Linked DNA regions of Canis lupus familiaris. The protein of the gene in region 1 purifies or fractionates together with the protein of each later gene. This does not show direct contact. Links are inferred from orthologs where the notes say so. Each region holds a gene or a part of one and is shown in the gene's direction. Other genes may lie near its edges. The genes, in order: NCBP1, KPNA3, DDX39B, NCL, KPNA2, PABPN1 and KPNA4.

Region 1 (3,613 bases):
TTTTGTTCCTAATGTAACATACTTTTTTCTGGTTTGCCATTTCGCTTCATTGAGTATGTACACATACCTTCTATGCATCTCTAGTAAGGGATGGAAATAAAAATGACAAGGACCCAGTACTACCTTCAGGAAGCTTACCTGAGTCTAATGGTTAGAAATAGAGTTTGCACAGTTAATAATACAAAAAATTTTAAGTGTTACGGAGAAATATGACTAATTCTGGCTACTGAAGAGTGGAAGACCTTCAGAATGAGTAGGTCATACAAGTTGAGAGGTCTTATTTTCTGTAAGTGTACTTGAACACGCAGTAACTAAATGTTATGTTACTTTAAGATTGTTTGTTTGGGAAATTTTGCACTCCACAATTCGTAAGATGAACAAACACGTTCTCAAAATCCAGAAAGAGCTAGAAGAAGCTAAAGAAAAACTTGCAAGGCAACACAAACGGGTAAGTCTTCTGCTGGTTTGCAAATGGTCAAAGAAAAGATGCCAGAAACTCTTAAAAAATTCAAAGTTCATTACCTTGATGGGAACTTTTTTTGTTTTGTTTTTTGTTGGGTTTTTTTGAGGCCAAATTATGCAGACTATTGTAGAAGTAGAGGGAGAGGAAGGACCTGGGGGTGTGTTGCTCCCTGCTGTTCTCCTGTGTGATAAACCTGGAAGGAAGCCACAAACCTTGCTTTTCCATACTTCTCTTTGAATCCACTTCATGTTTGCCCTTCCCAAAAGGGAAGGCAGAGAAGGAAAGAGGACACTTGTATTTCTCTAAGAGTTTCTGGTGCAAGAGGAGACAGGGAGACTGTGCACCACTTCCCCAGCACTGTGGAAACCTTCCCTGGTTTATGGAATACTTCTCATATTAAGAAGTATGGTTAGCCATTTTGGGGGGAAGCAATGAACTATGTTCCATGATTTTGCATAATAGTACTACTAGTGTTTATGATAGTATTTTCCAGTGATGTGCATATTTACCAGAGTAGGTGGAGACAAATGTAATGACTTACCTGAACCTACAGCAGGTTCAAGTGCTAGTCTCCACATACATTCATATATGTGTATGTATGATATATAAACATACATTCACAAACTTAAAACACTGCGAGGTAAATGATATCATCCCCATTTAGTAGATATCCAAATTGAGGCTCAGAGAACTTAAATAACTTGTTCAAGCTTACATGGTTAATAAGTGACAGAGGTTGGGATCTGATCCAAGCCTGTCAAATTCCAGGGACTTCCCTTCATGCCACACCATTCTCTAGATATGTGGTGTCCAACACAGTACCTGCTACCACATCTAACTAGAAGTTAAAAATCAAATACAATTTAAAATTCAGTTTTTTAGTCATATGAACCCCATTTCAAATGCTCAACAGTCATGTATGGCTAGTGGCTACTGTGTTGGGCAGCACAGATTTATGTAACGTTTCCCTCATCACAGGAAGGTCTACAGGCAACAGTACTATAGAACCTAGCCTTAGTGTGGTATAGGAAAAAGACCACCATCTACCCAATTGCCTACAAGATAAGGCAGGTGCTACGTTAGAGATAAAAGAATTTTGTAAAAACGGGGAGGTTCTGATAACTTTGTCTAAAGGGTAGAAGGCAACCATCCCAGAAGGAGTATTGCCAACAGTGTTATCTAGGAGGAAGTGGGTTTTCCAGGTCTGGTGACGCTTACTTTCTTACTCAGAGGACCAAAGGACTTTAGTATGTAACATACCTGGAGTCAGGTTCTAGCTCAGCTGCTTACTAGCTTTATGACACTGAGAAGGTCATCTAACAACTAAATTAAAAAGACAACACCTAAGTGAATGCTCTAAGTTCTTCAGGGTGAGCTGGAAGGGAATTGTTAAAGCTTAATAGAGTTGTATTGAGCCCATCATTGCCAGCGGAAGCTTGAACGGTCTGCTTTGAGTTATATGTAGTCGGAGCTATTTCTAAATTATTGCAAGGATGAGCAGGTTCTCAAGCTGTATGCCATTCTGCCCAGCTTTTCTATATGGCCCGTTAGATGAAAAACTGGCACACTGCCTCTCTCTTGTTACTGTTGAGGCCATATGGCTATGTATTAGTGACTCAGTTGTTTTGCTGGCCATCTACTTTGTTGAATGAGCAGTAGCAGAGTTATAGGAATATACTGCCTGTCCTCATTATTTGCGGGTGCTGATTTTGCAAACTCACTAAACTTTGTGACCTCAAAAATCTATATTCGCAGTGCTTTCCCCGTCATTCAGACATAGGCAGAGCAGTGAAAATTTTGAGTTGCCCAGTGAGCTTGTTCCCAGATAAGGTTGAACAAGGCAATACTCTGCCTTGTTTCAGTTCTCATACTATTTAAAAAAAAAAAAAAAAAAAAAAGGATCCTTTTCAAGGTGTATTTAGTGCCACATTTGAGCTTTTGTCGGTGACTTCACTGTTGAAAATGGCCCTGAAGCATAGGGCTGAAATGCTGTCCAGTAGTGCAGGAAGGCTGTGAGGTCTCTGACAGTAAAAATACGTGGATTACATGAGCTTCGTTTGGTGATGAATAACTGTGCTGTTGGCCATGAGTTCAGTGTTCACAAATTTAACAATAGGATAGATACATTCAGAAAAAGGAAATTCACCAATTGTACCTAGGCTGTTCCATCAAGTTCTAAAAAAACATCTGTAATGCTGTGGTAAAAGCAGCTCAGTTTGTGGATTCATAAGACAATGACTGATTTTTTTTTTTTTTTTTTTTTTTTTTTTTTGACAATGACTGATTTAAAAAAAAGTGGACAGCCAAAGAAGTTGACAGTCACATTACTCGGGGTCAGGAAAATGTTAAATCTTTCTCAAGCAGTTTAAGTATAAAGAAACATTGTATATAATTGTAAAACATATATTAAATAAGCTATCTTCAAACAGAAACACACATAAGGTTACGTATGGATCAGTTGACAAAAATAAGCCAAAAGGCTCCCAAGAACCTAACCCTGGATTTCCCTAAGCAGTGGCTCAGGGTTCCCAGCAAATGCATAAACAGAACTATGGTGAATAACAAGAATCTGCTACACACTTTGCATGGAGCTCAAAGCTGTATTCATTTTGAATGGAAGAAAATGTGACACACACTTCCTCCCTGAATGGGCTACCTTGTAAAAGTTGTAACTCATCATCCAGGACAGGTGCCACTAAGGATGGCCTAGCTACGTGCCTGCAGGCCTTTTGGGTGTATGCGTGTGCCGTCGGGGTGGTGGAGTACTTTCACCAGAGAATACAGGCTTCAAGTGGCATTTGACCAGACACAAGAACATCCTTCCCTTTGACTTAGTGAGATTTAATATGCTGGAATTCTAAATGGTATTTTCCTTTTGTTCCTGTGCATCTTGCAGCGAAGTGATGATGATGACAGAAGCAGTGACAGGAAAGATGGGGCTCTAGAGGAGCAAATAGAAAGACTGCAGGAAAAAGTAGAATCTGCTCAGAGTGAACAGAAGAACCTCTTCCTTGTCATATTCCAGGTATCTTGGCTTGGGACACTGATAGGTTAAAAAACAATGTAGTTCTTTAGGCTTGAAAAATGTTATTTTTTTTAATCATAATACTTGAGCATTTATAAAAGTTTAAAATACAAAAATTTACAAAG
Region 2 (4,209 bases), on another chromosome or scaffold:
TATTTACTTATTTATGCAACTATTTATTTATTTATCTCTGTATTTATTCATTTATCTGTTCATCTACTTATTTATATATTTGTCTACTTATCTATTTATTTATCTTTATTTTTTTATTTATCTGTTTATTTATTTATTTATTTGAAACAGAAAGTGCACGCAGGGGGAAAAGGCAGAAGGAGAAACAGGCTTGATGTGGGGCTCGATCCCAGAACCCTGAGATCATGACCTGAGCTAAAGGCAGATGTTTAACCAACTGAGCCTCCCTGGTGCCTCCATATGTGATTTTATTTGCTGTTTTTATTCATCTCTATACTTTTTGACACATATGTATTTGGATTTTAATTCAGGTAGCATTATTTTAAAGCAGCAGCAGCGTTCTTTAATTTGGATACCTTAGTAAGAAACATCTCCAGATTTTACATGAGATAAGACCTGTGCTTACATATGAACTCTCTGACTTTGAGAAAGTCAGCAAACCTGAGGCTTTCTTTTGCTCTTATATTATTTTCAAAATCAGATGGGTTTAGGGCATGGCCTACACTCTCTGCTCTTCACTTGAGGGCCTTTTTCAAGGGCTTTGCAAATAATTAAACTTTCCCCCAAAGTTAAAATGCCAACTTGCTTCTTTTGTCTGTTTACTTTAATAACCTGAAAAATTATTTATATTGTTAAATATGTTTGAAAATCATTGGTATCTTTTTGGATAGACTTGAAGCATCTGGTATATGGTCTTGTTCTGTATATAAAGTGTTTCCTTGTAATTATTAGGTACTCAGCTTGGGCAGAGAGAAAAACTTTTTTGCCTGTTTTTTTTTTTTTTTTTTAAAGATTTATTTATTTATTTTAGAGATACAGAGAAAGAGGGTGAGTGAACTCAAGCAGAGAGAGAGGCAGAAGGAGGGAGAGAATCTCAAGCAGGCTCAACTCTCCACTGAGCATGGAGCCTGATGTGGGGCTTAATCTCACCTGCCTGAGATCATGACCTGAGCCCAAATCAGAAGTTGGACACTTAACCACCGGAGCCCCCTGCCAGTTTTTAAATTCATCCATCTAATATATAAATGCAGAAATTAGGGTAGAAGTTGTCTCAGACTTCTTTCTGTGTCTCATTTTTGTGAAGAATGATCTGAGGTAGGCATTGGGAGAGTTCTCTGCTGCCTAGTAGATTTAATCAGGTAAGCAAATATTTTTGCCACCAGCTAAAACCTAAAGTTTAATTACTTTTTATGTCACTACCTCTCATGTATGTTAATGTATTTTAAGCATTCAAACAAATACCTACACTCGTAATTTTTTTTTTTATTTTTTTACTTCCTGTAGATTCTGGTTGATACTGTTTGGGCTTTATCATACCTGACAGATGGAGGTAATGAGCAGATACAGATGGTTATTGACTCAGGGGTTGTACCATTTCTTGTGCCCCTTCTGAGCCACCAGGAAGTGAAAGTTCAAGTAAGTATTTTAAAATTTTTCTCACTTGTATAGAATCATGTTTGCTATGTAATCTGTTAAAACTTGAACAACCAGGCTTCAGTTCTGTCTTTGTGCATATATCTTCCATATTTCTCTTCTATTTTACTGCATCTGATTTTGCTGGTTTCCAAAGCTTTATCTGACCCAGACTGAGTTTCAGACTCATAATAGCCAATTGTCCTTGAGCACTTAGACATCTCCTCCAAGAATTCCTTCAGGCATCCCATTGCCATTTTGACCAGACAAAATTAAGATGTATCATCTTCTCCCACAAACCTTCCCGTCTTTATATATCCCCTTTCAATAGACCACACAGCCCAAGCTTGAAACCTGATTCCTCTTTCATTTCCCCTCCATTACAAAGTCCTGTTAATTCTTATTATATATATAGCGTTCAAATCTATCTACTCCTTATGTGTCTAGAGCCACTGATTCAGTTCAAGAGTCTTTTTGTCCCTTCCAGATAATTGCAACAGCATCCTAAACTGCATTTCCTCCTCTCTCCTTTCTCCTCACTCTAATTACTGTTGGGTGGCTGATATTCATTCCACTTCTGCAAAAGTGACTGTCTAGATGGAAATATGTGCCCATCCCAAGCCTTTAATAAAATATTTCTGTGGTACAATTTAGTAATAGATAAAAAGACAATTGTTAAAATGAACCTTTACTTTTTACATTTTTGTTTCTTTGTATTTTTTAAATCTTTTCTCAGCAGTTTTTCATAGTTTTTCTATATAATTCCATTTTTTTATAAGACCTATTTATAATTCAAAATTGCCTCTCGGTTCTACATAGTACTTTGTGTAAGAATACAGTGTCAATCATTCACCCCTTGCATTTTTACATTTTCCTGGGATTATGAAAAATACAAAATCCTTTCATCATAAACAAATTTATAGAAAGTATTTTTCCCCACCCCAGACAGCAGCACTCAGAGCAGTTGGCAACATAGTGACTGGCACTGATGAGCAGACCCAGGTTGTTCTCAACTGTGATGTCCTGTCACACTTTCCAAATCTCTTATCACACCCAAAAGAGAAGATAAATAAGGTAAGGCATATAATAGCCTCACTGGTGCATTTCTTTCTCTCTATATATTTCTTTTTAACTGTCCCCTTGTTTTCTGTTGCTTTGGTTTGATCATGATTTTCTTCAAAACCACTGTAGTTAAGATGAGAATTATTTCAAAACACCCCTGTATTTTATTATAAGTGCTGCCCTGATAAAATAATCAGTGTTTTTACGTAAATAGATTGGGTGGTAGCAAAAACCAGTAAAACAGTAGCCAGTATGTGAGAATACATATGAAATCTCTCATTGGATGGCTGGTATCTTTTATAAACAGATCATAATTTAATCTCTTTATGAAATTAAATTGGACCAAAAAGAAACAGTGCCTAAATTAAAGGATCAAAAAGTCTTTTTTAAAAATCTCAAACTTGAGATACAACCTTATTATTAATTGTTAAATATATACTTAAGTTCTTTATTCCTTTTGTGTCTGCCTTATTTCACATTGCAGAATTTTTTTAAGGTTCATCTATGTTGGAGCATATGTCAGAACTTCATTTCTTTATATAGCTGAATAAGTATTCCATTGTACATATATGTCACATTCTGTTTATCCATTCATCTGTTGATGGACACTTGGAGTTTTTCTACCTTTTGGCTGTTGTGAATAATGTTGCAGTGAACACTGGCATGCAAGTGTCTATTTGAGTCTCTGCTTTCAGTTCTTTTGGGTATATATCTAGGAGTAGAACTGCCCAGTCATATGGTAATTCTATGTTTAGCTTTTTTGAGGAACTGCCAAATTGTTTTCCGTAGCGGCTGTACCATTTTACATTCCCACAAGCACTGTATGAGGGTTCCAATTCCTTTTTTAAAATTATTATTATAGCCACCCTAGTAGTTGTGAAACGATGTCTGGTGGTTTTGATTTGCATTTAGTTTAATGTAGTTTTTTCTGCCTAAAATGCCACCATCCCCAAAACCAGCAAAATTGATCATTTCTTCTGTGTCGTAGCTATATTTATATATAGTAACTCAACTATAATTCAACTGTTGGATTCTTAAGAAAACTATATTGTCAAAAAGTGCATTTTATGAATACATTTGTTCCAATGAAGGGAAAGAGGGCAGAGTCTTTTAGACTCTGGGCCAGTTAAATTTTTACTGTAGAAATTTCAGTAATATAGGTGATTTTTACAGCTAAATGTATTCCATAATTGGAAACAGAGCTGAGAAAGCTGGACAGAAGTGGGTGCAGAGAAGTTCTGGCCTGTGATCGATAAGCTCTAAGTGAAATTATCACTGGGGAAAGGGAAAGGGTTCACATAGATAGCTACTAAGCCTCAGCAGCCAGTTAAGTCTCCTCAGAAGTTTTTCACCTTTGAGCATTTGTGTTATTTGCACTTGGGATCATTATGGGATCCTCAAAGTAGAATAAAACTCGATTTTATTCCCTCAGCATTTTTTTTTTTTAAGATTTACTTACTTATTTGAGAGATTGTGCGCGAGTGAGCACAATTTGCGGGGAGAGGGTGAGGGAGAGAGAATCCCAAGCAGACTCCTCACTGAGCACCGAGCCTGACATGGGGCTCAATCCCAAGACCCGGAAATCATGATCCGAGCCAAAATCAAGAGTCAGACACTTAACCAACTGAGCCACTGAGGCACCCCATATTCCCTGAGCATTTTTGAAATTTTTCAAACCTGTGGGAAATTTGCAAG
Region 3 (4,848 bases), on another chromosome or scaffold:
ACTCCCTCCCCTCAGCTGGGGTCAGACTAGCTCCAGCGAGGACGCGCCGGTCACCTTGACTACCGGGCGGAGGACCCCGTGGGAACTCTCAGCCCCGCCAGCCTGTTGCCGAGCGGGGCGCCCACGGAGGGGTGACCAGAGAGAAGACCTGCCGGCAAGAACCCGAGGGAAGAGGTGAGGGACGCGGAGTGGACGAGGACAGAGAAAAGAGGTAACAGTGGGAGACGATGCTAGTTTCCTTCAAGGCTTTTGTTACTTGCAGTAGCGAAGGAGTTAGAAGTGCCTTTAAAAAAAAAAAAATCCACACAGGCGTTTTCTAAAGGCAACCCCGGAGCGCGCGGAACTCTCGAATCTGAAAGGGTCTTCTTCCGGTCTCCTGCGCCTGCGTGCTGGCAGGCGGGAAGGCGAGGCGCCTGGGAGAGAGAAGGCGAAAACCGGAAGTGAAGGCAGAGTCCCTCTTTCGTCGCTGCTGCCGCCGCCATATGCGCTCGCCTTGCTCAGGTAAGCTTTGGCCTTCGGTATCATCCGCCTCCATCTGCGTTTCTTTGCGGCCATCCTGTTCCCTGGACTCCTGATACCCCTTCCACAGACTATAGTCTGGTCCTTGGGGCCTAGTTGGGTCATTATTTCTATTGCTTGCATCCCTTTTCAGAGCTCTTAAGAGTTTCTGGAGGGGGGGGTAGCGATGCTAGGGGGCCCAATCCAAGATGGTGGCCCCAGCGCCATTGTGTTCCCTTCGCTCACTGCTTCTTCGCTTGGGCTTCTCGTTTATCCGAGGCCCTAGCTATGGTGAGAGGCGGCGTAGATGTCCTCTAGTCCAGGGCATTTGCGGAGGGCGGGGCTCCTTTCACTTTTCCTCTCTTCTGTGGGTCCTCTTAATGGCCCAAGGTGGGAACTGGAGGAGGAGCCGACTACTGAGCCTGGTTGGACCCTTCTGTGAGCTCACCAACCATCACTTGGAACATTTTCCACTTGTTCATGCGTGGTGTCATGTCGGTTATCGGAGAGGAGTCTGATCTGAGGAGTAACAGAAGACCCTTTGCTATAGTTCCTGGTAGAGCTGGAGCGAATGCTGTCTCTCTCTCGTTCTATGGAGAAGAGACGAGTACTTTCCCGTCCCAGCCACGTCTTCTGTATCCCCTCCCCCACGTTACACGGGGACCCCTTAGACACCGGGAGGTTCCTGAGGAGTGGGAGGTGGATGGCAGCCACATGATGTTATTTCGAGGAGTGAGCGCTTTGCGCTAGGATGACCTTAATCTATCACCAGTAACTGATGGCTGCTTTGTTAGGGAGATTACTAGGAAAGCAGAGAGGTCCTGTGAGGATTTTCAGCACTTACCTTGTCATCTCCATTCTTCACTCCGTTGTCCTACTTTGCTTTTCGTTACCCGTTTTTCTTCATTACTGTTGCTTACAGATGAGGAATTCATGGGCTGGTTGTCCCCTTCCTACTTCCTGCTTAATGCTATTCTGATCCTAATTTTGTTGAAAAGTTGTGTCTCAACCACCTCACTTGGGACCACTGTGTTATGTTTGCTGTTGCTTTTATGTTTTGTGTTCCTGTTAGTTTTATCCCCAGGTAAAGGGGTCACAGTTTAGGGAAAGTGGGAAGAGTGTGGGGATGGAAAAGAGGGGCGAAGGCTCTGCTCCTGACTAATAAGTCCTCCATCTATTTTTTTCCTAGCTCTTCTATCACAAACTAGGGTATTTTTTTTTTTTAACTGTTGCTCCAGCCCCCACTCTCCTCCTCTGTTTTTACTTATTCTGCGTGAACCCATCCAGAGACCCATCTCCTTCTCCCCCTGCCGGCCCAGTTATGGCAGAAAATGATGTGGACAATGAACTCTTGGACTATGAAGAAGATGAAGTAGAGACAGCAGCTGGGGGAGACGGGTCTGAGGCCCCTGCCAAGAAGGATGTCAAGGGTTCCTACGTCTCCATCCACAGCTCTGGCTTTCGTGACTTCCTGCTGAAGCCAGAGTTGCTCCGGGCCATTGTTGACTGTGGCTTTGAACATCCATCAGAAGGTAAATTTTCTGCAGGTCATAGTGTTCACTAGGCTCTCTAAGGATACAAGAAAAAGGTGTGTTAAACAGTCACTTAATGTAATAACGTTCTTATTTAGGCTACTTTAGGAAATAAAGGTCAAAAACTATTTCAGCAGTAGGAAAGATTTATATAGATTGGTTTTTTTGTTCACGATAACATGAAAAGGCTAGTGACCTAAAAGCAACTTAGAGGTTTGTGCTTGTGACCAGCATTTATTCTTGTCTACTTGTTATTAATTTTGTTGTTTAGGTTTCTAAATTTGAATTTCCTGAGAGGACTGGTTGGACCTTTAGTCTCTCCCTGTTGGGCCAGGCCACCTCTGGTCTCTGGAAATCTTCATAGCTGGTCTAAAATGGGTGGCTTCTGGATCAGCTACCAACCCCTTCAGAGTTGCAAGGTTTTGTAGCCTTAAAGCAAGGGAAGCTAAGTAGGAGAAATGGCTTGGGGCAGGCAGTCACATGTCCTGGATTGTTACAGATCAAGGAAAGTCGGGACAGAGTCAGAAGCACCAAAGGTGAACTGTTGGTAGGTGCAAGAGGGTTGTTTGCAGTTTGTGGGGTGGGGGGAGGGCACTGGAGTTGGAGGAGGCTAAAGCTAGAAGGAACTAGGAAGGTCTATCTGGTTTTGAGATAAATCTGAGGGAGCAGAGAGGTAGAAGGGGTCTGGAAATTGATAACCATTTAAGAAGGGGTGGGAAATGGGTTTGACATGGTGAAAAAAGGTTGTGGAGTTATCTGGAGACTGAAGTCTAATTTATCTTTTTTCTCCCCCTGCTTCTAGTCCAGCATGAGTGCATCCCTCAGGCCATTCTGGGAATGGATGTCCTATGCCAGGCCAAGTCAGGGATGGGAAAGACAGCAGTGTTTGTGCTGGCCACACTACAACAGTTGGAGCCAGTTACTGGACAGGTACACTTGGGGAGAGTGCTATGGAAGACATTTTTGGTTAGGAATATTGGAGAAGGGTGTTTTGTCTCAGCTGTGTGATGCTTTTAGAGCCATGAGTGTTTGTGGCTAAGATGAACTCTGTCACCTTTGACTGATGGCCCTGGGGGATATTACATAGTAATCATGGGGTTAATGGTTTAGATCTCAGAATTGAAGTAATTTATGATCTGTCAGATGTGCTTTTGTGACAGTTGGTTCCCCAGAGGGGATAGTAAGTATATACTGTTTATCTCCATGTACTCCCCCCTCCACCCAAGGTGTCTGTGCTGGTGATGTGTCACACCCGGGAGTTGGCATTTCAGATCAGCAAGGAGTATGAGCGCTTCTCTAAATACATGCCCAATGTCAAGGTAAGCCAAGATAAACCTGGGAGAGTGTGGGGAGTTGGAGACATTGAAGACTTGTAGACCAGCAGTCTTCATTTTCTCAGATGATTAATTAACTTTATATGAAGGTCATTTACTTGTAATAGCTGGTCAGTTTCTGCAAACTTTGGTGTGCAGGAGATTTACATTCTATGGTTTACTTGAATACACATTGCAATTTCTGATATGTTCACTATATTCCAATTTTGGAGAAGCTTTAGTTTGTTCTTAACACATCATGTTAATATAGCTAGCAGCGGAAGACTGCATGGAATGGGTTCTGGAGGATGTTTACCACAGTACTACACTTGGGTTTACTACTTTTTTATACTGACTTTGAATGATTTCATTGTGCTTTGGTTGACAGTTTGAGAATTCTAGGATGTGTGCAAGAGAAAGCTGGAAGCTTCAAAATATCTCTTTAAGTGTGTGGTGTGTGAATTTTGAGGATTCTTTAAAATGGCAGAAAATTGAAAGATATTTAGGGGCCACAACAGACGAGGTTTGGGCGGTTTTCCATATATGATCTTGATTTTCATAGTATGGTTCCCAGACCTCTAGTTAGAGCATCATTTGGAAGCCTGATGGAAATGCTGATTATATGGGTACCATCCCAGACCTAACTGAGTATAAACATGCATTTTATTTTGTTTTGTTTTATTTTATTTTATTTTATTTTATTTTATTTTATTTTATTTTATTTTATTTTATTTATTTATTTATTTATTTATTTAATTTATTTTTTAAACATGCATTTTATTTTTTTTTTTTTTTTTTTTTTTTTATTTTTTTTTAAACATGCATTTTAATACAATCTTCAGGTAATTGGAGTTTGAGAAGCGCTGATGTGTATAACCTCCTACCTTCCTGACTAGGATGTGGTGAAAAACAGTACTTTTGTTTGGATTGTTGTGATATTCTCCTGTTACTCATGTGTTGAGTCCTAGCCCTAAACTAAAAATAGTAATTCTTAAAAAAGATTTTATTTAAGCGAGCAAACACACACGAACGGGATGGGGTCGGGTGGGGAGGGAGGTCTAGGGAGAGGGAGAAGCAGACTCCCCCTCTAAGCAGGGAGTCCCACATGGGGCTATATCCCAGGACCCCTAAGATTGGGACCTGAGCTGACACTTAGCGGACTATGCCACCCGGGCACCCCTAAATTGGAAGTAGTCTTAAGAACCAAAGTAGTAATAAATAACAATGTGGGGGTAAACATGCAGTAAATATGCTGAAGTAATAGAAGGTTCATGATGAAAAGATTTGTGTTCTCTTACCTCTAATCGAACTTCATAGAAGGTAATCATTTGTTAACCTTTTTTTTTTCGTTATGGTTCTGTGACACCAAGTATTAGGTACTATTCTCTCGTTTTATAACCTTATGAGTGTTTTTTATTTCTTTTCATGAGAGATTGGTTGCGATTTTTTTTTATATTTGAAGATTAATTCTTTAACAATAATTTAAGTGTCATATCTCCTTATGT
Region 4 (4,209 bases), on another chromosome or scaffold:
TTCTCTGTCTCTCATGAACAAATAAAATCTTTTTAAAAAAATAAAAATAAAAATAAAAATAAAAATGCGTTGGTTATGCCCCCCCCCCCCCCTTTTTGCAGGATTGCTTATATTGAATTTAAGACAGAAGCTGATGCAGAGAAAACCTTCGAAGAAAAGCAGGGAACAGAGATAGATGGGCGGTCTATTTCCCTGTACTATACTGGAGAGAAGGGGCAAAGTCAAGATTACAGAGGTGGAAAGAATAGCACTTGGAGTGGTAAGAATTTATAGAATTCCAGGATTGACAGAGGGAAATCTTTGCATCTTTGAACTTTCCTAAGTTAACTAATAAATTAGATGTATGTAGGTATCAAACAAGTTATGCCTCTGTAGTGATGATCATTCAGTTCTTGAGTAAAAGCTATACAAAATCATTTTGTTTTAGAACACAGACAAATCTAGCTTTTGTGTGTTTTATACTTTAGCTTAGATGGTGTGCATTTTTAAATTATAATCTAGATATTCTAGGAGGATGTAGACCAATATTTTTTTACATCTCTAGGTAACAGGGAGGAAACTGCATGACAAATACTTAGTAATAAATACTTAGTAACAGGTGGAAGTCCACCTGCATCGACATTGTCATGTTGATAACTCTTTGCAAGTGTAGAAGTTCTTGAATAAGGTATTCTAGTTGTGTCTAAACTTTAGGACCATTGTTTCAGTCTTCATTTGGCATTTTTTTTCTTTGTAGGTGAATCAAAAACACTGGTTTTAAGCAATCTGTCCTACAGTGCAACAGAAGAAACCCTTCAGGAAGTATTTGAGAAGGCAACTTTTATTAAAGTGCCCCAGAACCAAAATGGCAAATCAAAAGGGTAAAATAATTACATCTTTAGGTTATCAACTATGGGCTCTAAGAATGTTTTGCATAGATCTAAAGAAGGGGGGAAGGTAAATTTTTTCCTGGATGTTACTGGAAGCTGAATCCTATAAGCCTCCACAAGTTGGTTTAAAGAGTATCATTTAGGTATATTCTTGAGGTAAAAGGCTTGGTGGCATTAGATAATATAGGAACCGTGTGCTTGGTAACTTGCTCTGAGTATTGATTATTCTTCCTCAGGTATGCATTTATAGAATTTGCTTCATTTGAAGATGCTAAAGAAGCTTTAAATTCCTGTAATAAAAGGGAAATTGAAGGCAGAGCAATCAGACTGGAGTTGCAAGGACCCAGAGGATCACCTAATGCAAGAAGCCGTAAGTTATATTTATTAGGGTGTGGTGGTGTGGGTCAGCACTCCTTAGTGTGCTATGCTGCATTGGTTGTTTTTTTGTCCAATTTAGAGCTGGACATTTGTGTTTTCCTCTTGTTGCTGAGTGAAGGATACTGGATATGATGACTGATTATCTGAGAAAATAATTGATGAAATCAAGAAAATTCCTCTAGATAGTCAAGTTCTGATCCAGCTATGTCTTCTCTGAGCAGCACATCTGCCTCTGGTTACTGCCTTGTGCGGTGATCATAAAAGCTGTCTGCTTAGAGATTGCCACTTATTTGCATTGCTGCTCCTGCTTTCCATAAAGGATCTGAGACCGGATCTCTGCTGTTTTGGTAATCATTGTAAGCTTAAGATGGTGGTGATCTGTGACTTATATTTTAATTAAGCACTAGTTTGCTAAGTTTCTTTTACCTGTTTTTGTTTCCAAACAGCTTTTGGGTGAAAAGCAAGCTTCTGCTAAGATGAGCATTCTTGGCCTGTAGTTCCATACTGGACATTATTGAAAGCCAGCATCCAGTTAAGAATTGTGGCTTTAGGTAAAATGTACAATTTTTCTTCCGTAGAGCCGTCCAAAACTCTGTTTGTCAAAGGTCTGTCTGAGGATACCACAGAAGAGACATTAAAGGAGTCATTCGACGGCTCTGTTCGGGCAAGGATAGTCACCGACCGGGAGACTGGGTCCTCCAAAGGGTAAGATGATCAAGGAATGAATGTTCAGTGTCTGCCTAAGTAGAGACACCCCCCCACCCCCCATCTAGCGTATCTTCTCATTGAGCTCCTTTCTGTCAATTGGTGGCAGTTTATGGATTCGCACGAGAAGAAGAGACAATTCACAGTTAGCATTATTTTACCTTCTGTCTTCACAGAGGTATATGTTGCTGTTTTGTGAGACATCTCTGAGGTTCAAGCAGTCAATAAAACCAGTTTTGATCTTCTATGGGGAGCTACTATTATTACTTGTGTCTTAGTTGAGCAAGTTTACTTCCTATGGGATCACTATTCAACATGTGAGGTTAATCTTGGCACTTGTTTTGGTATGTGTTGTATAATGGGCAATTTCATTTTGCATTTTAGGTTTGGCTTTGTAGACTTCAACAGTGAGGAAGATGCCAAAGCTGCCAAGGAGGCCATGGAAGATGGTGAAATAGATGGAAACAAAGTTACTTTGGACTGGGCCAAACCTAAGGGTGAAGGTGGCTTTGGAGGCCGTGGTGGAGGCCGGGGTGGCTTTGGAGGCCGAGGTGGTGGCAGAGGAGGCCGAGGTGGATTTGGTGGCAGAGGCCGGGGAGGCTTTGGAGGTAAGGAGGCTGGGGGAGGGACTTCCTTGTAATATGCATTGAACATTGTGTGGCATATGCACTTCAGAATGTGCTCAGAACTCCGGGTTCCCTGGATCAATCTCCCAAGTTCTCATATGATCACTCTGGGGAGGGGAGGACTCCTGGCAGCTTTGTACTCATTCTTTAATGATGTTTTGCTTTCCTATAGGGCGAGGAGGCTTCCGAGGAGGCAGAGGAGGAGGGGGAGACCACAAGCCACAAGGAAAGAAGACGAAGTTTGAATAGTTTCTTCCATCCCTCTGTCTTTTCCTCTTCTGTTTGAAAGAAAAGGACTCTGGGGTTTTTACTCTGTTACCTGATCAATGACAGAGCCTTCTGAGGACATTCCAAGACAGTATGCAGTCCTGTGGTCTACTTGGAAATTCGTATAGATAACATTTCAAGGGAGATACCCTGTTGGTTTTGACTGGATATTCATATAAACTTTTTAAAGAGATGAGTGATAGAGCTAATCCTTATCTGTAAGTTTTGAATTTATATTGTTTCTTCCCATGTACAAAACCATTTTTTTCCTACAAATAGTTTTTGTTTTTTTTTTTTTTTGCGTTGGGGGGTGTAAAGGAAAGCAGAATGTTTTATCATGATTTTTGCTTCAGCAACTTTGGGACAAATTAAAAGTCCTAAACTCTGGTGCCAGACTTGTACTTCCTCCTGGACTGTCCCTGAAGGTGGAGCATGGCAAAGCCAGCTCTGCCACTCCAGATCCAGCCCACCACCCCTGCTGGAAATAATTAGTTGGTTTCAAGCATCCTGGCTACAAGTTTTGGTGAAATGGCTGGTAAGGTAACATGAAAGGCTTGTATTTTTTGTAAGTCCTCCAACAACTTCAGGTTAAACTAACGAGAAGGGTCTTAGATATTAACACTATGTTCAGTACGCCCTCATTTAAGTACTCCTTGTCCCCTCTGCCTCTACTAATAAAAGTTAGGGGCCACATGAAAAGTCTTTGCCAAGGGATTAACAGGATTACTAAACAGTGCCCCAGATGCTACAGAGCAGAGATTTTTTTTTTTTTTTTTTAAGATTTTTTTTTATTCAGAGAGAGAGAGACTGAGGCAGAGACATAGGCAGAGGGAATAGCAGGCTCCATGCAGGGAGCCCGATGTGGGACTCGATCTGGGGTCTCCAGGATCACACCCCAGGCCATAGGTGGCACCAAACTGCTGCACCACTGGGACTGCCCTCAGAGCAGAGATCTTAAACCTAGCTATCCAAATCCAAAAGCCCGTGGATTGTAACCAACTGTTTTAGAATCATACTAGTCCTTGCCAAATCAAGTTGTAGAAGGGGCACCTGGCCAGTAGAGCATGCAACCCTTGGTTTCAGGGTTGTGAGCTTGAGCCCCACATTGGATATAGAGGTTACTTAAAAAAACTTGAAAATAGTGTAAACACACACTCTACACTGGGAGGATTTGTTCAGCTTAGAAGGCAGTCTAAAGCAAATAAATGGACAGTTGATTTTGTCCTGATTTTCACTACGGGGTGAGGAAATCTAAGCTCCACATACCTGTGACTCAAACCAGTTCTGTTGGAAGTACTGTGGGAGTAGACAGATGGCCTGCTTGGAGGGTGAGAGTGCCAGTGGAAGTTTGCTGCTGGGAAGAA
Region 5 (4,086 bases), on another chromosome or scaffold:
CATCACAGCTGGTCGCCAGGACCAGATACAGCAAGTTGTGAATCATGGATTAGTCCCATTCCTCGTTGGTGTTCTCTCTAAGGTAATGAAGTCTTAGTATTTAGTCAAAGAATGTTAGTATTTATGGATGGACATTTGGTAGAGCTGTGCTTGATAAGATTCTTAATGTGCCAATATTGGATTCTACCTAGAGTCCTTTTGCTAAATAGTGGCCAGTAACCTCCTTCACTTAAGATTAGATGGAATCTGTTGGTAGTTAGAGTTGTTTTTCTATAACCATACTTTTGGGATCCTATTTTTACAATTGTTCTGAATTAAACTTGTTTCCTTATGCTTATTAGGCAGACTTTAAGACACAAAAGGAAGCTGTATGGGCTGTGACCAACTATACAAGTGGTGGAACAGTTGAACAGATTGTATACCTCGTTCATTGTGGCATAATAGAACCATTGATGAACCTCTTAACTGCAAAAGATACCAAAATTATTCTGGTTATTCTAGATGCCATTTCAAACATCTTTCAGGTAAGTTATAAGGTAGCATTTGAACTTGGCCTTGATGGTAATGGATGATATTTTAACCCACGGGAGGGCAGCTAAGTTTGCTCAGTAGGCCACAGAATTAGAAAGGCTGCTTATGTGGGCCACACTCTTGGTAAGACGTGACAAGGGATTATAAGAGATTTAAAGGAGATGACAAGGGGATGACCTGAATTTAAATCAAGTCCATATGTGGACACAATTCATTCCTATCTATTTTGTCAGAAATCTTTAATTCTTCAATGTCCTACTGAATTATGGTGAAATTAAATTTTGATGACTTAGTTATCCATTTTATTTTTTTTCTGATTCCCTTCCTAATTGACCCGAGCATGCTAGCATATGACACTTTGTCACAGTGGTTGGGGATAGGTAGGTCCTACCTAATGACTTTAAACTTCTGATTATGGAAATTCTACCTAGAAGAGTCTAGAATAATGATGCTTGGTGTATCTGTCACCCAGCATAAATAAATTGTCAACATTTGGCCTATTTTTCTACTCCTTCTTACCTAAACCCTCTAAATTATTTTGAAGCAAATAAATTATTTAATCTGTAAAAATTTATGTATCCTAAAATTTGAAGACTTTAAAACCACAATGTCATTTTTATACCTAATAAATTCTTGATTATCAGTAAGTAATCCAATCAGGGATGTTTATTTTTATACACCTTAGGCCATCTTTGTCCTTAGACGATGGTTCTCTACCTTGACTACACTTTGATGTTATCAGAGGTGCTTTTTAAAAAAGATTTTTTCTTTCATTCATTCATTCATTCATTTATTCATTCATTTATGAACCTGAGCATGTGTGGCAGGGGCAAAGGGGGAGGGAGAGAGAATCTCAGCAGACTCCATGCTGAGAGTGGAGCCCAAAATGGAGCTCAGTCCCACAACCCCTGAGACCATGACCTGAGCTGAAACCAAGAGTCAGATGCTTAACTGGCTTGAGCTACCCAGGCACCCCTGAGGTGCTTTTATAAAACAGTAATATTCTGTTCCCATCAAAGACCAAACTTGGTTATGGTAACATTTTTATTTTTTTTTATTTTTGTTTTTTTTTAAACTTTCTTTTTTTTTAATTTTTTATTAATTTAATTTATTTATTTATTGAGAGAGAGAGAGAGAGAATGGCTGGGACACAGGCAGAGGGAGAAGCAGGCTCCATGCAGGGAACCTGATGTGGGTCTCTATCCCGGATTTCCAGGATCACACCCCAGGCTGCAGGCGGCGCTAAACCGCTGCACCACCGGGGCTGCCTGGTTATGATAACATTTTTAAAGTTGCCCAGGTGATTTTGATTCATAGAAATGATTTGAGACCTACTGTAAGATCTAGCTGAGAGCTACAGAAGTAGTTGTTAAGAACAAGTATAGATCTGATCACCTTGAATTTTTTGAAAATGTAAACTGGAAATAAAACCATCTCATAGGGTTGTTGAAGGAACTTTAAAGTGGTTGTCTGAGATCCATCAATACCCAAACATAAACACGGTTTTCCTTTTTTTTTTTTTTTTTTTCACGGTTTTCATTAAAATAGAACATTCAGTAAATTCCACTAAACTTGGATATTTTTTTTAGGCTGCTGAGAAACTAGGTGAAACTGAGAAACTTAGTATAATGATTGAAGAATGTGGGGGTTTGGACAAAATTGAAGCTCTACAAAACCATGAAAACGAGTCTGTGTACAAAGCTTCATTAAACTTGATTGAGAAGTATTTCTCTGTAGAGGTGAGTAACATGGTAAAGTTAACAAGAATTTGGAAAATACACAAAGTCAAGCCCATAAGATTTTTTTCTTCCTTATACTTTTTAAATGAGCCCTGTGACCTTGTTAAATATGGCAAAATATCAGTGTGAGTAGGACATAATGTATATATATATTTTGCTTCTTAAATATTTGGCTTGATGATCATATAATCTTTAGAAATTAAAAAAAATTTTTTAAAAATTACCCCTCTTTCTTTAGAATGAACAGTCTTAAGGACTTTAGAGTATCTTGAGAGTAAGTTTGTATAGGAGATGATGGAAAAGTGGGCCAACCCCACTGCCATCTTCTGGGGCTAATAGGCCATCTTCCCATTTCCTTTTTTTTTTTTTTTTTTTAATTTTTTTTTAATTTATTTGTGATAGTCACAGAGAGAGAGAGAGAATGAGGCAGAGACACAGGCAGAGGGAGAAGCAGGCTCCATGCACCGGGAGCCTGACGTGGGATTCGATCCCGGGTCTCCAGGATCGCGCCCTGGGCCAAAGGCAGGCGCCAAACCGCTGCGCCACCCAGGGATCCCCATCTTCCCATTTCCTATGGAAAAGTGACAGGTGGGGAAGAAAGTCTGCTGTGGTAGCATTCCTTAGTCCATTCGGAATCTTCCATCTCCCAGGCGCTCCTGAATTGGCAAGTTTTCAGCAGCTTTCCCTCCACTATTTCAAATACTGAAATATGGTACGGCATTGATTAGTATAATATGCAGATGAAGACCTTAAGAGTAAATAGAGACTTCTAGGCAGGCTACTTCCTAGAAATGTGCTATGTGTGTGAAATTATATTGTTTGGTTTTGTTTTTTAATACTTCCAGGAAGAGGAAGATCAGAATGTTGTGCCCGAAACTACCTCTGAAGGCTATACATTCCAAGTTCAGGATGGCACTCCTGGGACCTTTAACTTTTAGATTGTACAGCTGAGACAGAAAGTTGTTTGTTGTGTACTGTTTGGTAGAAGTTTGTCTTACTGTTTCTCTACTAAGAACTCTTTTTAAATGTGTTTTGTTATTGTAGCACTTTTTACAACGAAACTATACTTGACCAGTTCTGAACTGTACAAACTGTATGAAGCTCCTCCTCTCAGTGGGTTGCTTATTTCTATGTGGAATCTTCTATCTTACAGTGTCCTGTAAATAAAGATTAAATTCCACCCTTTTCTCTACCTCACCGTTCCTATGCATTACTTTCTAATTTGGAGTTCTTAAGATTGCAGATGAAGGGTGACAGAACCAAACCAATGTGACCAACCAGAGGTGTAATTCTGGTGGCAGATGACATTTGATATCAGGTTTGTGATGTCCTCAAAGATAAAGGAGTCATAACTCTTCTGCCCACTTCTGAGCTCTGGGTTTGCTCTAGGCTGCTTCCATTCTTTGTCAGTAATGGCTGTTGGCACTTGCAGCTTCATATCCACTATACTCCAGCCAGAATAGAATTTTTCAGAAGTTTGCATAAGAAAATGAACAGAATTTCCCAGAAGGCTTCAGCCAATATCTCCTTTAAATCTCACTGGCCAGGGAGTGAGAGTGAGGCCAGGGAGTGAGGCTCCTTGCATGGAGCCTGCTTCTCCCTCTGCCTGTGTCTCTCATGAATAAATAAAATAAAAAAAATATATATATATACATATATACATACACATATTCTACACATATATGTATGTGTGTATATGTATGCATATTAATCATAATTAGGATGTTTATATATACGTGTGTGTAATATATACATGTACATAAAATTTAATATATATACACATGTGTATATATATATTTATTTATTTATATATATA
Region 6 (4,689 bases), on another chromosome or scaffold:
AACCTGCCTGGAGGAATTCCTCTGTGGTCTGAAGGAAGGTTTGGGGGCTGCGAAAGAGTTGAAGATGAGGGTGGCACCCAGATTCCCGGTCAACGCAAACATTTATTGACAATATGTGCCAAGCATATTGCCCTACAGTGGAGCTGCAAATATAAATAGGATCCAGCCTCTCCTCTCCAAATTCTCAGGATGCAGGACAAAATGATTACGTGCACAGTGGAGGTAGTAGGCCTGCTAGTCATGGGAAAGGAGAGGAGGCTAGCATAAGGTTTTGCACGAGCGGTGATGCTTAGGTTTGCAGTGGTCTGGTTGAAGAGGGACTTCATGTACAGAGGCACAGAGCTGGGTGCAGGTATACCCCCTGGAATGAGGAGTGTAGAAATAACATTTGTGACGTAGGCTGGTCCTGAGGTCTCTAAGGCCACGGTACAGTTTTACTTTTACCTGGCCAGCAAAGGGGAGCCAGCTCACTGTGGTAGCGGTGAGGACTGTTAAGAGTGACACTGGAAGCTGAGAGATCTATTAGGGGGCTTAGCAAACAGCCCAAGAAACAAACTGAAACTGAGGCATGAGCAGCGGGCTTGGAAAGTATGCCTGCACAAGGAAGACAGATCAGACAGGACTGGTAGCTCTGGACTGAAGATTCCTTCCTGCTTTCTGGTTTGGGAGACCTGATGGGTGTTGGTACCTTTTGGTACCTGGATGGGGAAAGCAAGCATCTTACTGGAGAGCTCCATTCAGAACCTCCATTTCCAGCAACATTCCATCCACTGGTAGCTTCCTGGTTAGCAAACCAGTTTACAGAAACCGCCTCAACGTTTCCAGCCACTGCTTTCTAACATCTCTCCAGCCGGCGACCAGTAGCGTCAAGATGGCGGCCCCCCGCCAAGGACTAGTCATGTGACCTCGGCTTTCCATGGCTGGAAGCCTTGCCGTCCGTTGCGGGGCAAGGTTCACCTGTCACGAAACGGATGTTAGCCCTTCGAATCTCACGAGCCAATCGGCATCCGAGAGGGCTATTGCTGCGAGGCGATCGGAAGATTGGCCTTGTCTCCTCGCCCTAGCCAGCGGCCAATCACCGAGCGTCATATACTCGCGGATCCGCCTGGAGGTGGGGGTGGGGGGAGGCAGGAATGTCGTCACAGCGTGGCGGTATTGTTACCTAAGGGGTTGAGAGGAGGTGGGGCGTATGTTGATTGACAGGCCAGCTCCCCTACCGGGATTTGAGAATTTGGCGCAATAGCCCGCCTTAGGGGTGGGGTCTTATTTGATTGCCAAGTAATATCCCCCAATGGAGTCCTAGCTCGTGGTGACGGGCAGGTTGCTAGACTAATGAATCCTCGGCGTGCCCGGCGCTGTTCTCCAATCGCCGGGCGGCGGGCCCCAGTCTGAGCGGCGATGGCGGCGGCGGCGGCGGCGGCAGCAGCAGCGGGGGCTGCGGGCGGTCGGGGCTCCGGGCCGGGGCGGCGGCGCCATCTTGTGCCCGGGGCCGGTGGGGAGGCCGGGGAGGGGGCCCCGGGGGGCGCAGGGGACTACGGGAACGGCCTGGAGTCTGAGGAACTGGAGCCTGAGGAGCTGCTGCTGGAGCCCGAGCCGGAGCCCGAGCCCGAAGAGGAGCCGCCCCGGCCCCGCGCCCCCCCGGGAGCTCCGGGCCCTGGGCCTGGCTCGGGAGCCCCCGGCAGCCAGGAGGAGGAGGAGGAGCCGGGACTGGTCGAGGGTGACCCGGGGGACGGCGCCATTGAGGACCCGGTGAGGGAAGGAGGGCGAGCGAGCAGGCCTGGCCGTGTCACGGGAGGCCCAGAGCTCGGGCGAGCGGGAGGCAGGCGGGGGGTGGGGTGGGCGGGGAATAACGTGGCTGGGGCAGGGCCGGGCGCGGATCCTCGACGTCCAGAAGGGGCCCAGCCGGGTTGATTCGGGCGTTATGGGTGCCTAGTGTTGTTCCAGAGAAGGTAGCTTGCTTTTCTTTTCATCGCGACCCGCGCGTGGGGCGAGGGAAATGGCCGAGCATGGCTGGGGCCGCGCTTGGACGGAGAGCAGGGCGCAGCCCCTGCGTTGGTTCCTCTTAAGCTCTTCTCCATACCCTTTCCACTCATTACAGGAGCTGGAAGCGATCAAAGCTCGAGTCAGGGAGATGGAGGAAGAAGCTGAGAAGTTAAAGGAGCTACAGAACGAGGTAGAGAAACAGATGAATATGAGTCCACCTCCAGGCAATGGTGAGTAACCGGCGGTTGCACGCGGAGCCCGGGTCCTCGGAAGGGTTCTGCGAGCACGGGTTGTGTGGGATTAGATGCTCGGGACCTTGGAGCTGCTTGTATGAGCAATTACTGGGCAGGTGCTGGGGTCATAGTCCATTGTGTGTTTTTTCTGACCTTAGTGAGGCAAGAATCTCTATTTTGATGATGGTAATTTTGTGCCTTTCTTTGTCCTTTTTACAAATGTGTTCTTTGTTCTTTAGTCTACCTCTACTCTTTGTGGACGTTGCCAACTGGCATTTGACCTTCAAGTCTCATAGTTCTTCCTTTAGTTGGAGACCCTTTAGTTAGGAGTCCTAAAAGAAGCTACTCGACTGCAGAGGGCTTTCTCTTTAACCTAGAACTGTTGAGTTTGGGTTCCCTTGATTTTGTTCACTTTAAAAATGATTTGAGTCAAAGCTGTTCAATAGGGTCTTGATTTGGGAGCAGGAGAGAAATTCCTGTACTGTTTTCTCTGATTTTTTTTTTAAGGATATGTTAATCTGTTGCTTGATTAGTCAGATGTTCAGCCAAGCATCTATTGTGTGCTAGACAGTATTCTTGGTAAGGGGTACAGCAGGGAACACAACAGACCAAAATCTTTGCCTTCCCTGTAGTGGTGGTGGTGGTAGTGATGCATATATTGGTCAAATAGAAAACCAGTTTCTTGCCACCCCCCCCTCCCTTTCTTTTTTCTTCAAAGCTGGCCCAGTGATCATGTCCATTGAAGAGAAGATGGAGGCTGATGCCCGTTCCATTTATGTTGGCAATGTATGTATTGGGGCCCTGATTGGGGTTGTGGGAAGGCTCTTGTTTGGGGAGTTGGTTAATAGGAGTCTTAAGGAATATTTCAAGGATAGGTAGTAGGTTGGGGGAGTATTGAGAGGGTTTGGAGGAGGTAAAAGGAAATGAAGATCAGCAGAGGCTCTGGGGTTGGGAAGAGAAGATTAACTTCTTAGAGAACGAGAGTTGATGTGATTTTGGAGAGGATAGGCAGGGTACCTGTGAAATATAACCTTCTCTACCCTCACAGGTGGACTATGGTGCAACAGCAGAAGAGTTGGAAGCACACTTTCATGGCTGTGGTTCAGTCAACCGTGTTACCATACTCTGTGACAAATTTAGTGGCCATCCTAAAGGGTAAGTAGAGAAGTAAAATGAGGTTGTTTTAATCACATCTTAGAAATAGATAAATAATGTTTTGTATTGAGCAGCGTTAACTTGTTAAAATAAGCAGTGTTTGTTTTATGGTTAGGGCGTTAGTGTCACATATACATATCGGGTCACGTAAATGCCTTCAGAGACCAAACATAAAGATGAAGGTTAGCATGAGTGGGATTGTGAACTAGAAAAAGGAGGGACAGGGATCCCTGGGTGGCGCAGCGGTTTGGCACCTGCCTTTGGCCCAGGGTGCGATCCTGGAGACCCGGGATCGAATCCCACGTCAGGCTCCCGGTGCATGGAGTCTGCTTCTCCCTCTGCCTGTGTCTCTGCCTCTCTCTCTCTCTCTCTCTCTCTCTCTCTCTCTCTGTGTGACTGTCATAAATAAATAAAAAAAATATTATAAAAAAAAAAAGAAAAAGGAGGGACAGCATTTGCTTAGCAATCCAGGCTGTTTGTATACTATTTTATAATTTTCTTAAGAGTAGGTGGAAATTTAGATTGAAGTATTCCATTTAAAAAAAATTTGACCAGGGCAGCCCGGTGGCTCAGCGGTTTAGTGCTGCCTTCAGCCCAGGGCCTGATCCTGGAGACCTGGGATCAAGTTCCACCTCAGGCTACCAGCATGGAGCCGCCTTCTCCCTCTGCCTGTGTCTTTGCCTCCACCCCCCGCCCCCGCCGTGTCTCTCATGAATGAATAAATAAATAAAAATCTTTTTAAAAAAAAATTGACCAATAAATAAATATGTGGCCCTGTTGTTATTCAGGCATACCTGCAAGTTGGATTTGATGTGTAAGCTGCTGTAACTTCAGATGAATGAAATGACAATTATTTTTTTCAGTTTTGCGTATATAGAGTTCTCAGACAAAGAGTCAGTGAGGACTTCCTTGGCCTTAGATGAGTCACTATTTAGAGGAAGACAAATCAAGGTAAGCCCTGTACTCATTGCTGTTCTGGTTCTGTGCAAACTCTCCAGGCTTATTTTAAGACTTTCTGTTGTATATCCCTCACTTTCAGGTGATCCCAAAACGAACCAACAGACCAGGCATCAGCACAACAGACCGGGGTTTCCCACGAGCCCGATACCGTGCCCGGACTACCAACTACAACAGCTCCCGCTCTCGATTCTACAGTGGTTTTAACAGCAGGCCCCGGGGTCGCGTCTACAGGTCAGGATAGATGGGCTGCTCCTCTCCCCCGCCTCCCATGAGCCCTGTATGTTTCCTTCTTTCCTGATCTGAGGAACCTCCCTCACGTTACCCTCCCCTTGGTCTCCAGGGACTTGGTCTCCTGCCT
Region 7 (4,209 bases), on another chromosome or scaffold:
TTAATGAATTGATTGGAGAAGGTATGGTGTCTCATAATACAATACAGTTTTTGCTTTCTATATTTATAAATATGAGAATAATGCTCTGTGTATTAGTGGGACAGAGACACTTAAGTAATTGACGCTATTTATAGAATTTCATAGTGGGAAATTTCACTGGTCCATCGAATATCTTAGCTAGTGCATGTATCTTTTATTAAAAAATGTATTAGAGTTTTCCTACTTTTATGTATTCATTTTAAATAACCTGGAACAGATGGGAAAATTACAGCATTAACAGTGTTGCCCACTATGGGTAAAAGAACTTCTTAGAGAGGACTTGGTTATGTAGGGAAAAAAATCACAGAAGTATTCACATCTGAAAATGCAAATTAGTGTTTATAGATAGAATTATTAAGAAATTAATGCATTATGCTCACTATTTTCAGTAGATTATTTGAGTTTTGGAGCTTTTCTCAACAGAAGTTCTACAAGATAATTAAAGCCCTAAGGCCCCTAAGTAGGCAGATATTCTCAAATTATGGTCTTTGGGTCTCTAGTAGATCCTGAGACAACTTCAGGGGTATAAAAGATCAAACCCATTTTCACAATAATACTAAGACTTTATTTGCCTGTTTTAAATATGTTAACAATTTATATTGATGTTGTAAAAGCAACTAATTAAAACCTGATGGTACCATAGCAAAATCAAGTAGACAGTTATGCAAAACTGATTTCAAATATCTTGTAGATATTGTATGTGCCATTGTGCACACATAAGAGGGAAGGCCATTTCAAAATCTTTGAGAATGTCCTCAATGAAATAGTAGAAAAAATTTCTTTAAATCTGGAGCCTAGATTAAGAAAGACTGGGTTAGGGATCCCTGGGTGGCGCAGCGGTTTGGCGCCTGCCTTTGGCCCAGGGCGTGATCCTGGAGACCCGGGATCGAATCCCACATCGGGCTTCCGGTGCATGGAGCCTGCTTCTCCCTCTGCCTATGTCTCTGCCTCTCTCTTTCTCTCTCTGTGACTATCATAAATAAATAAAAATTAAAAAAAAAAAAAAAAAGAAAGACTGGGTTATTTCCTACTTTGTGCTAAGAATTATGCCATGTGCTGTGGAAAATACTGCAAAAAAGCTTGTGGCATAATTCTTGCTATATAAGAGCTTTAGAACCTAATTGAGAAGGCAAAGGCATGTTAAAAATAAGGTGATACTCAACAGCAAATGTAAGCATGTGCTGTGTAAATGTTCTTGGAATTTAGAGAGGATATTGTGAAAACATAAAAATTGAAATGGACTTTGAATAGACAGAAAGGAGGGCATTCCAAGTATGGGGAATGAGATGTTAAAGAGCCTGGAAGTGAGATTGAAAGTGTGAGACAGACAACTGATCTATTGTTGAAGTACAGAAAATAAGATTAGTTGGGTAAGATGGAGCCAACTGATACTTTAAGCCAGGGCAAGGAGTTTACATTTATTGGGTAGTAAATATGCAGCCATTTCTTCATTTTTATAGGGGAATGATCTGATTAAGCTTTTGCTGTGCGGGGTATTCAAATGGGTGAGGGTTTGTGTAATCTCTATGTCAAATATGAATTTGAATTTAATTACATATCATTTCACAAGAGTATGTATATCTCTTACAGGAAGCTTTTGTCCAGTGATCGAAATCCACCAATTGATGACTTAATAAAATCTGGAATATTGCCTATTTTAGTTCATTGTCTTGAAAGAGATGACAAGTAAGTACTTTATTTTAGAAAGAAATTTGGAATGTATCCTTTGCAGAAGACAAGATCTTCTAGTGGTTTGATCTTTAATGAAAAAAGAAAGGGGCTATAAGATGGAGTCGAAAAGCCAGTGTAAAACAATGAAATGCAAGGTGTGTTTACATTAAGAGGTAAACATAAAGGCCAAAGCAATACTTGAGAATGATGCATTTATCTTTTAAACTGTGAAAATTGGCAAAAGCTGGTTTGGCTGATTAGTACTTGAGAAAACTGGGCAGTAATATGCAGGTATCTTAATAAAGAGTTTTTAGGGCACCTGGTTGGCTCAGTCAGTTAAGCGTCTGCCTTTGGCTCAGGTTATGATTCTGAAGTCCTGGAACTGAGCTCCGGGTCGGGCTCCCTGCTTATTAGTAGAGAGCCTGCTTCTCCCTCTCCCCTTTCTCCTGCCCCCATGCCATTCATGCTCTCTCTTAAGTGCTCACTGTCTCTTCCAAATGAAGAAATAAAGTTTCAAAAAAAAAAAAAAGTTTTTACTAAAAATAAGTAGGACACTTGAGGAAATTGTGTGCTTTTTATACTGAAGAGATACTGTAAATACATTGGAGGTTTAAAAAAAAGTGCTGGATACATAAATACTTTCTGAAACAAAATATTTAATACTTGAAAAAATATTTGAGGGGAGGAATGGTTGGTAGATACTAGATTTGGACCAATGTAAAAATCCCTACTGTTTAAAATGATTTGTTCTTTGTAGTCCTTCTTTACAGTTTGAAGCTGCATGGGCTCTGACAAACATTGCATCTGGAACCTCTGAACAGACTCAAGCAGTAGTTCAGTCCAGTAAGTTGGTGATTAACAGATAAAATTGTGATTTCTAAAGAAGTTAGTAAAAAAAAAAAAGTGATTATCTTAAAAGAATAAAGCTATTTAGATTATAAAATAATAGCTACCCAATTACAGAGTAGTTGAAATAGGCCAGCTTAAGTATGTTACTTTGTCATTTTGTCCCAGTGACTGACATTTTCTGTTTTCAAAAATTCATTTAATGCTAAATCTGAGAACATTTCCTAATTATAGTAGCAGATTACATTATTGTAGTTATACTTCATTTATAGAAATCATAAAGTAAAGATGTTTTTTGCATTGCCATACTAGCTTTTGGCCTCTCTTAGGGAGATTTTCATCATATGGTTTAATCTTTTAGAAAATAGTCTTGAAAAATGGCTTGAAATTTTTTCATTGTTATTAGGATTGTTTTTCTTTTATGTTTCAAGAGATATAAGTGGGAAATTATTACTGGAAGAAATAACCTGAGTATTATTTTCATGAATACTGTTCTTCTATCAAAGAAATTAATAATTTATAGACGGTACTTTTAAAATACTCTTCACATGTGTAAGCAATATACTCGCATAAGCTTGTTAAGACCTTGGCACTAATTTCTACATGATTTTATTTTATTTTTTTTTCTACATGATTTTGAAGGGAAACAAAGGTGTTATCCAAGTAAACATTTTATCATGTAGACACTTCTGTTGTAATATTACATAGAATATTGACTACCCTAATACCTTTAAATCATGATAAAACTGGCTTAATTTTGGATTTTGCTTTTGGTTTTATTTTATATAATTGACTAGTAAATTTTATAATCTCAAGACAATGTTTTAATCTCTCTTTTTCTTTTCTGTTTTATGTGCTTTTTCAAAATCAGCAGGAGCCTTAGAATTTAACACTGCCAGTCTGTCTTGTTTTACCAAATATAATAGATGAATGATTATTTTTTATGAGTAAAGCATGGTTGATCCACATGTACTTAAATAGCATTTTTCAAAGTAGTATCGGAAGAAAGAAAAAAGAGAAGAATCATTTGTTCAATTTAGTATTATTTTGTTTGATACAGACCTCTCTCTATGTTTCCCATCCTCGTTATAAAGCAACAGAACCACTTTCTAAAAAAAAAAACAAAAACAAAAAAGAACCACTTTCTGATTCAGAAGGTCTCATGTAGTGACAGGAATTGCTGGTCTGCCAAAAGACCCATGTGATGTTATTTTTTTTTATTTTTATTTTTTTGTAATTGAAATGTAATTCACATATAGCATTAAATTAGTTTTAGGTATACAACATAATGTATGCACCAAGATGTAATTACTAGAAGTCTCATTTCCCCTAATATCATATCAGATTACATAATATGCAGTACAATATTATTGACTATGGTTACCATGCTAAACATTTCATTCTCATGACTTATTTGTTTTATGATTACATGTTTGTATGTTTTGACCCCTTCTATTTCACTCACCTCCTGAAACCCCTGCCCTGTCAACCATCAGTCTGTTTTCTGCATCTATGAATTTTTGTTTTGTTTGTTCATGTATTTTGATTGACAACAAATCATATGTTGTCTCTCTTTTTTGACTTATTCCACTTAGTACCTCAAGGCCCATTGATGTCCTGATTACAAGTATTTCATTTTTTTGGTAATGGCTG

The links.
Region 2: the proteins of NCBP1 (region 1) and KPNA3 purify together in Homo sapiens (co-immunoprecipitation; 3 studies listed by BioGRID and IntAct, with this or other methods). This does not show direct contact. The link is inferred for Canis lupus familiaris from reciprocal best matches to the Homo sapiens genes NCBP1 and KPNA3.
Region 3: the proteins of NCBP1 (region 1) and DDX39B purify together in Homo sapiens (affinity purification with mass spectrometry; 6 studies listed by BioGRID and IntAct, with this or other methods). This does not show direct contact. The link is inferred for Canis lupus familiaris from reciprocal best matches to the Homo sapiens genes NCBP1 and DDX39B.
Region 4: the proteins of NCBP1 (region 1) and NCL fractionate together in Homo sapiens (co-fractionation; 3 studies listed by BioGRID and IntAct, with this or other methods). This does not show direct contact. The link is inferred for Canis lupus familiaris from reciprocal best matches to the Homo sapiens genes NCBP1 and NCL.
Region 5: the proteins of NCBP1 (region 1) and KPNA2 purify together in Homo sapiens (co-immunoprecipitation; 5 studies listed by BioGRID and IntAct, with this or other methods). This does not show direct contact. The link is inferred for Canis lupus familiaris from reciprocal best matches to the Homo sapiens genes NCBP1 and KPNA2.
Region 6: the proteins of NCBP1 (region 1) and PABPN1 purify together in Homo sapiens (co-immunoprecipitation; 3 studies listed by BioGRID and IntAct, with this or other methods). This does not show direct contact. The link is inferred for Canis lupus familiaris from reciprocal best matches to the Homo sapiens genes NCBP1 and PABPN1.
Region 7: the proteins of NCBP1 (region 1) and KPNA4 purify together in Homo sapiens (co-immunoprecipitation; 3 studies listed by BioGRID and IntAct, with this or other methods). This does not show direct contact. The link is inferred for Canis lupus familiaris from reciprocal best matches to the Homo sapiens genes NCBP1 and KPNA4.

The regions. Positions count from the first base shown.
Region 1 is NC_049232.1:55,304,421-55,308,033, forward strand, and holds part of NCBP1 (nuclear cap-binding protein subunit 1), read left to right. Parts: intron 1-333; coding exon 334-448; intron 449-3,359; coding exon 3,360-3,488; intron 3,489-3,533; exon of another isoform or gene 3,534-3,613. UniProt on the Homo sapiens protein: Component of the cap-binding complex (CBC), which binds cotranscriptionally to the 5'-cap of pre-mRNAs and is involved in various processes such as pre-mRNA splicing, translation regulation, nonsense-mediated mRNA decay, RNA-mediated gene silencing (RNAi) by microRNAs (miRNAs) and mRNA export.
Region 2 is NC_049243.1:2,064,980-2,069,188, forward strand, and holds part of KPNA3 (importin subunit alpha-4), read left to right. Parts: intron 1-1,323; coding exon 1,324-1,455; intron 1,456-2,397; coding exon 2,398-2,526; intron 2,527-4,209. UniProt on the Homo sapiens protein: Functions in nuclear protein import as an adapter protein for nuclear receptor KPNB1. Binds specifically and directly to substrates containing either a simple or bipartite NLS motif.
Region 3 is NC_049233.1:1,178,657-1,183,504, reverse strand, and holds the start of DDX39B (spliceosome RNA helicase DDX39B), read left to right. Parts: upstream 1-1,819; coding exon 1,820-2,030; intron 2,031-2,832; coding exon 2,833-2,960; intron 2,961-3,256; coding exon 3,257-3,349; intron 3,350-4,848. UniProt on the Homo sapiens protein: Involved in nuclear export of spliced and unspliced mRNA. Component of the TREX complex which is thought to couple mRNA transcription, processing and nuclear export, and specifically associates with spliced mRNA and not with unspliced pre-mRNA.
Region 4 is NC_049246.1:43,513,763-43,517,971, reverse strand, and holds the end of NCL (nucleolin), read left to right. Parts: intron 1-101; coding exon 102-259; intron 260-736; coding exon 737-860; intron 861-1,105; coding exon 1,106-1,239; intron 1,240-1,370; exon of another isoform or gene 1,371-1,449; intron 1,450-1,825; coding exon 1,826-1,952; intron 1,953-2,023; exon of another isoform or gene 2,024-2,158; intron 2,159-2,336; coding exon 2,337-2,560; intron 2,561-2,750; coding exon 2,751-2,827; 3' UTR 2,828-3,232; downstream 3,233-4,209. UniProt on the Homo sapiens protein: Nucleolin is the major nucleolar protein of growing eukaryotic cells. It is found associated with intranucleolar chromatin and pre-ribosomal particles. It induces chromatin decondensation by binding to histone H1.
Region 5 is NC_049230.1:14,375,199-14,379,284, forward strand, and holds the end of KPNA2 (importin subunit alpha-1), read left to right. Parts: coding exon 1-82; intron 83-341; coding exon 342-524; intron 525-2,120; coding exon 2,121-2,270; intron 2,271-3,115; coding exon 3,116-3,208; 3' UTR 3,209-3,462; downstream 3,463-4,086.
Region 6 is NC_049229.1:3,702,640-3,707,328, forward strand, and holds the start of PABPN1 (polyadenylate-binding protein 2), read left to right. Parts: upstream 1-1,390; 5' UTR 1,391-1,398; coding exon 1,399-1,749; intron 1,750-2,098; coding exon 2,099-2,213; intron 2,214-2,934; coding exon 2,935-3,002; intron 3,003-3,264; coding exon 3,265-3,371; intron 3,372-4,234; coding exon 4,235-4,322; intron 4,323-4,410; coding exon 4,411-4,562; intron 4,563-4,689.
Region 7 is NC_049255.1:26,770,180-26,774,388, reverse strand, and holds part of KPNA4 (importin subunit alpha-3), read left to right. Parts: intron 1-1,629; coding exon 1,630-1,725; intron 1,726-2,467; coding exon 2,468-2,553; intron 2,554-4,209. UniProt on the Homo sapiens protein: Functions in nuclear protein import as an adapter protein for nuclear receptor KPNB1. Binds specifically and directly to substrates containing either a simple or bipartite NLS motif.